Oryzias latipes: one gene and its partner. The protein of the gene in region 1 purifies or fractionates together with the protein of each later gene. This does not show direct contact. Links are inferred from orthologs where the notes say so. Each region holds a gene or a part of one and is shown on either strand. Other genes may lie near its edges.

Evidence for each region.
Region 2: the proteins of mrps27 (region 1) and noa1 purify together in Homo sapiens (co-immunoprecipitation; 3 studies listed by BioGRID and IntAct, counting the BioPlex papers as one, with this or other methods). This does not show direct contact. The link is inferred for Oryzias latipes from reciprocal best matches to the Homo sapiens genes MRPS27 and NOA1.

Annotation. Positions count from the first base shown.
Region 1 is NC_019867.2:7,672,237-7,674,752, forward strand, and holds the end of mrps27 (28S ribosomal protein S27, mitochondrial), read right to left. Parts: intron 2,486-2,516; coding exon 2,333-2,485; intron 968-2,332; coding exon 719-967; 3' UTR 572-718; downstream 1-571. UniProt on the Homo sapiens protein: RNA-binding component of the mitochondrial small ribosomal subunit (mt-SSU) that plays a role in mitochondrial protein synthesis. Stimulates mitochondrial mRNA translation of subunit components of the mitochondrial electron transport chain.
Region 2 is NC_019868.2:3,207,687-3,211,997, reverse strand, and holds the start of noa1 (nitric oxide-associated protein 1), read left to right. Parts: upstream 1-1,377; 5' UTR 1,378-1,580; coding exon 1,581-1,755; intron 1,756-2,352; coding exon 2,353-3,318; intron 3,319-3,408; coding exon 3,409-3,573; intron 3,574-3,643; coding exon 3,644-3,748; intron 3,749-3,848; coding exon 3,849-3,940; intron 3,941-4,311. Other genes in the region: protein NipSnap homolog 3A, read right to left, coding at 795-863. UniProt on the Homo sapiens protein: Involved in regulation of mitochondrial protein translation and respiration. Plays a role in mitochondria-mediated cell death. May act as a scaffolding protein or stabilizer of respiratory chain supercomplexes. Binds GTP.

The DNA of each region.
Region 1 (2,516 bases):
ATTGCTTTTCAGCAAAACTATGAAAACATGTGCTGCTGTTTTCTAAAAGCCACTGGATCACAATGGGTCTTGTTTTGCCCCATACTTATTCATCCTGAGATGCATGCTGGGCTTTTTTCCCCAAGACCATGTGCTGAATACTGAATAGAGGCAGCATAATGTGAAATGAATGCATTCTGTGCTCCACAACAACAGCTTTTTCTCCTCTGGAGATCGATTATCTTTTCCCTTTCCAAACAAGCGCAGATCCACAATCTATGTTCTAGAAATCTGGTTCCATATTAGCTTATGCAGCACTTACTAAATTTGCACCGTCTGATTTTAAAGATTATCAGACTAACCGATAAACTTGTGTTTCCCTCTGTGATAGTAAATCCATTCCTCTGCAGGCAAAGAAGATAAAAATTAGAAAACATTACACACACACAAAACAAAGGAGAAGTAAAAGCTGTGATAGTACGAATATTTTAGAGCTTTCCCTGTATTCCTGAACACAATATCAGCAAATCCTTAATGAAAAGAACTCCTTTTTGGACATACTGCAACAGGTCATGACACACAAAAAGCAACATTTTTTTATACAAATAAGAGTTTATTTCTTTTGACCCAGACGTCCAGTTACATCTGAAAAATGCAGTAAATGATATATACAAAAGTAACAGGGTTGCATGCCAGTTTTGTATAGAGAAAAGCTTTTAACACAGAGCTCACAGAATCTCTACGCCTGCTGAGCTGCAGCTCTGGCAGCTAAGCGCTCCTGTTTCTCCTGCTCAGCCTTCTGCCTCGTCTCCTGCTCCCTCTGGATCAGCTGCCTCCTCTCAGCCTCCCAGCTCTGTACCTGGCTCAGGTACTCCTCCAGGTCTGGTTTTTCTGCATCAGCCAGCTGCTGCTCACACATAGCCGTCACCGTAGCCTTGAAGGAGGTGGGCTCTACTTTACCACGAGACTCAAGCTGGCTCATCAGCTCCTGGAGACCAAGAGAAACAAGAGGTGGTTGAAAGAACAAAACATTTGACATCCTTCAGAGTTTTTATCACAGCTTACATTTTCATGTTTGTCAATTGCAAGATGCTTCAAAATCCTGTTTTTCTTTTTAACTGTGTGCAGGTCTTGAACTTGACACCTTCAACTTGAACTCTTTAAATGAGCATTTGTGGTGTTTACAACACAGAAGCAGTTTCATTTTACTACCATTTGGCCTTAATTTGTGCAAATTCGACAGTGGCTAATGAAAGTGGGGCCTTTTTAAAAGATCATTAACAAAAGGCCAGGATTATGTAGCTCATTTTCCTCACACATGATAATGTGTATACAGAACAGAAGCATTGTTAAAATAAGAATAAAACAATTAAAAACATATACTTTGGGGTCTTGTTTGGGTCAAGAAAAACTGCGGTAAGATATTTTTTCAATGAAAACACTAAAAAAAAAAAAAAGCATTACCACAAATTAAAATGTAATAGTTCCTGGAATAAAACAAATACTTTGCGTAGATGAATGCTGTCAATTTGGAATAACTGGCTTTTATCTGTGGTTTTCTTTATTGATTATCTGCACAAGCCTAAATTAAAGTGCCTTTAAATTTTATGGGGTGCTTTATCTTTCTGCATTTATCCAATTTAAAAGGAGATTTTAAATTATTCTTAGAAGTGTGAAATCATTAGATGTACAAAATACCAAGAAGTTAATTCGTTTATGGAGAAAGCAAAGGGGGATTTTGGTCATTCTTGCTCAACCATTCATTAAACTTTGCCAGAAAGCTCTGAGATTTATTGCTGAAATACACTTTTTGTCTTTTACTAAATCACATTAATATGCAACTCTTGAAAGAATTAAAATGAAATTCCACTTCTCTGGCTCTACATACATGTAGCAACTGTTGATATAATTCATTAATACTCTCTGGGTTTGTAAAAAGCTTCTTTGAAATTAATCTAATGACATTTCTATGGGGAAAAATATATATTTCTCAGACTTCGATTCTGCAACATTTCCCATTTGAAAAGCTGAGGTCTGAAATGTTCCTCATAAATAAACTTAAGAGAAAGAATGTAAAATGGAATTCAGGAAATCCCATTATAGCATTTAAAAAGAAACAAAAGTTCACCTCAATACTTTGTAATGCAAGACTTTGGGTCAGGGAATGTTATGAGATGCAACTTTTCCTTTCATTTTAAAATGAGCCCACAGTGAACTGCTCACTCATATTTAATTGAAAAAACTCAACAGCTATACTACAGACATAACAGGAAACAGGGAAATCCTTGGAAGGAAAACTACCGTAAATCCAGCTGTGAGGACAAACTTGAAGCTTCTAACGACGGCCGCTCACCTCAAATCTGCTGACATAGTTGGGGAGTTTGGCCTTCTCGGCCAGATCATCTTCATCTACCTCCTCTTCCTTCTTGTCGTCTTTTTCTAACGGCTCTCCGGAGGAGTCCGTGTGTGACGACAACTCCTGCAGCACGGCGTTCACAAAGTCCAGCTGGAAAACAACAAAAACGTCTTCAAATGTT
Region 2 (4,311 bases), on another chromosome or scaffold:
ACAAATTGCAACAAGAGCAGAGGGGTATTCCAGAAAGCAGGTTATGCTAGCTCCCACGGTAATTTTGAGGCTAAGGAAGCGGATAACCTCAGCTTTCTGTTCCAAAAACAGAGGTATGTTTCAGGGTATGTCAAGTTGCCATAGCAACTCATGCTCTGAACATAACCTGGTCTGTAGCAGGTTTAGTTGAAGGTTACTTTGTTTTCAGAGAGGTGAAGCAGCATGCCGTGTAGTGGAAGAAGAAGCTCAGACATACCCCGAGTAAGCACGTTCAGGCGGATTTCAGCCAGAGTTCAGGGTTAAAGTCAGGGTAGTTTGAACATGCTTCCTGGAATACCCCCCAGGAGAGGATGCTCTGAGGAAAACAGCTGGAGTATGAAGAGTTACTGTCGCCCCCTTCTGGATATCTGACTGAACTGCACCTGAGAGCTACGTGACACGAGCGTTCACGTTTGGGCGCGCACCACGAAGGCAGACGGGTCCACGGGAGGCCCTGTCCAGTTCAGGGTCCACGAAACCTGCGGGGCCCCTAAGCTGTCGGTCAATGTTTGACTCTAATCCAGACAAAGATCAACAGAAACGTTCCGAACCGAACCACAGAACCCCGTCACGTGGGTTCTCCCCTCTACTAGAGATGAGGACGAGAAATAAGTGGGGTGTGCAGATGGGGTCACTGGCGCGTTGACCTGCAGGGCAGGAGGACTCCTTGTGGTGTCAGAGCAGTGTGTTCGGTCTGCAGCAGCTGCAGGTCCACCTCTGGGTTTACAGGTCTTGGTCTGTGCAGGTGGACTCACCTGTGAGGTAGAGGCAGCAGGTCTGAGAAGAACCGCAGCGGACCTCAGAAACACACTCAGCTTCGACATGTTGGTCGGACTGAAGAAACGCGACCTGCAAAGATCCTCTGATGGCGAGAGCGCTCACTCTGGGAGAAAAATATCAATGCAAACGGGGTCTCAGCTGTCGGTTTGTTTACAATGTAAAGGTCAACCCAGAAATTATGTGTGAAACAACAAATATAGCCACAAATCTATGCTTTTCCTTGGACAATCTCTATAGCATGGAATTCTTGTACTTGTGTTAAAAAAACAATTTCTTACCTACTTCACAAACCAGGTGGGATGCGTACGATTCACCACAACCTTCAGATTCCACGTTAGAGGCACAAATAAAGGACACACGCTTCATGAGCCTGATGGGTCCATAGAGGTCAGCTCAGCTTCCTATCGGAGCCCTAAAGGTCAGAGAGGACTCGCTCGATCCTGAATTTGCAACAGAGTAAGCCTTCTTCTTGTTACGCTGTGACGTCAAATCCTTTAAAGGCTTAATTAATAACAAACATTCCTTCCAGAAAAAATCGGAGAGTTCTCATTAAATGTTGTTTCTTACGTTTCCACTGTCAAGCAGAAATCTGGAAACTTAATTTTACCATAATAATAACGCAAGCATATTCCCGGAACATAAACATTCGTGACGTAACATCCGTCACGGAAGTGGACTAGCGGCAGTAGTGAGTCTCGTGCGCTCCTGAGCTCCAAGGCCCTCGTGAGTCTGGTGTCGTACTGCAGCGCGCGCCGGCAGACATGCTGAAGGTGCTGCAGGTGTGTGTCCGCCGCCGGCTGTGCGCGCGCGTCTGTTCGGCGGTCGGGGCGCGCGGGCTCAGTCGCGGCTTCGCGGGCAGACTGAGCCGGACCGGAGACCGAGACTGCACCGTGGACCCGAACCTGGAGGAGCAGTTCGTGTTCGTGGATTGTTCAGGTGAGCAGAGACAGCAGAGTATTCTGTGAACAGCGGTGCTGCAGCCTCTATCGATTCTAAAACGGGAGGTTTTACCTGAAATATACACATTCTATACATAAATAAACCACAATAATAATATTCAGCAGTTTATGTCTTCATTCAAGTGAAGTCTTGAACATCAACAGGGTTTGTGTTGCACAGACAAAGAAAATTAAGAGTATAATAATTGCATTTCTGAGTATTTCTTTACTCAAATCATGTCCTATGTGACGTAGAAAATACAGTGGGCAGGTCACTCTGCTGCATTCTGAAGCATCCACTGGCAGAGAAATAGATCCATGTAGTTTTGGGGGAAATGTTTCTCCGTGTTCATGATCAGGTCAGCATTGAAGAGCAAACGCTCTGGTGACCTGCTGTTCCAAAAGCATCCCTCTCTCAATTATATTTCTCAGCTGTTCCCGCCCATGGAGGCGGGACTACAGGTCTGACATGGAGACGGGTACTTCTGCTTTTATTTAAAGATATTATACAGAATATACTATAAATGCACTACAAGGAGCAACAACATAACAATCAGAAATGTTGATTAGCTAAGTATTTGGGTTCTCTCTTTAGGTCCAGAGGAGGACCCCCATCAAGAGGAGAAGGAGCTCCTCCGTCAGCTCCGCGTCTCCTCCACTGCTACAGAATCCACTCCTGAAGGAGCAGTCTCCCCTCAGAAGCAGCTCAGGTCTTTGGAGCTGCAGCTGCAGGCGCTGAGGAGCGGGGCCCGGCAGAACGTGGGGCCAGAATCGCTCATCCAGTTCCAGGACAAGGACTTCCCTCTGGAGGAGAGCATCCTCTCTGCAGACTCCAAAAAGAAGAAGAAGAAGAAGAAAGGGGTGGAAGGGAAAGGTGGGCACAAGGTTTTTGGAAGCCCTGATGTGGAGGAGCCCATCAGCGACACCTGTTGCTCGGGCTGCGGCGCCTTGATGCACTGCACAGCTGCAGATGTCCCTGGATACCTGCCCAGCGAGAAATACAAGGCGCTGCTGATGGACGGCCAGCTGGGCGGAGCCATCTGTCAACGCTGCCACCTGCTGACCCACCACCATAAGGCGCTGAACCTGCAGCTCACCAGAGAGCAGTACCGGGAGGTGGTTCAGCAGATCCGGCCTCACAGGGCTCTCGTGCTGCTCATCGTGGACCTCCTGGACCTGCCCGACTCGATCGTGCCCGACCTGCCGGGCCTGGTAGGCGCCAACAAGCACATCGTCGTGCTCGGCAACAAGATCGACCTGCTGCCAGGTGACTCGCCAAACTACCTCCAGAGACTGAAGCGGCAGCTCTCCGGTTACTGCCAGCAAGCCGGCTTTGGGAGTCAGGTGACGGACATCCACCTGATCAGCGCCAAGACCGGCTATGGGGTGGAGGCCCTGATCTCCAGCCTGCAGAGATCCTGGAAGTACAAAGGAGACGTGTACCTGGTAGGCAGTGCCAACGCCGGGAAGTCCACTCTTTTCAACACGCTGCTGGAGTCGGACTACTGCAAGTCCAGAGCCTCAGACGTCATTCACAAAGCCACCATCTCCCCGTGGCCCGGTCAGAGCCCGCCCTGCTCAAGTGCATTTACATTCCAGTTGTTAAGCACTGTCATCACGTGGCTGCTTTCTCCTCCTGTGGTGTGTTCAGGGACCACTCTGAACCTGCTGAAGTTTCCCATCATCAACCCAACGCCGTACAGGATGTTCAGGCGGCAGAAGCGCTTGAAGGAGGCGGAGCAGCAGATGGAGAACGAGCTAACCCCACTCGAGCTGAAGAGGCTGCAGCACTTGAGCCGGCAGGGGTACCTAGTGGGTAAGATGTCTGGGTGTGGCAGGGACGGGATGTGTGGGGGTCCCCGCTGAAAACCTGTCTGCCTGTTCAGGTCGAGTGGGGCGGACTTTCCGATCCGATGGACCCAAAAGAGACGAGATTGAGTTTGATCCAGACAGTTTGGCGTTTGGAGAAGACGAGGAGCCGGCAGAGACAAGTGAGCTGTGATTGGACAGATGAGGAGTGATGTCACTGATTCCAAATGTGGACCATAAATTAAAAAAAATGTAAAAATCTAAACTTCCTCCCCCTGACAGCTGTGCACCAGTCACATGACGAGCTCAGTTACAACGAGCTGAAGGACGCCCACTGGCTGTACGACACGCCGGGGATCATCAAAGAACACGATGTGAGATTCTCAGTTTGTCAAAGCTCATATTCCCAAAGAACATGTGAACTCACCTGGAAGAAGCCACACCCACTTACAGTTTTAGTTCGGGGCTTAATGTCAGATGATGTTGATATGTTGAACTGCATATGAGAACTGGATTGAATGGCCCCCTCCCCCACACGTTCCATATAGGAAGTACCCGCTTGCTCCACGAAGCCAAAATCCCATAGACGTCTACAGAGCGTGTGGCGTTGCATGGCGTGCAGGCGCTACCCGCCCTAACCCTCGTACTGACCCTCGCCAACCCCCTTTTTTCCCCTGCCCTCCCCCTGCTTCAAGCCCCCCAGTCTTCCCCTCTCCTCTGGTCAGAGCTGCATGTGACAGAATCA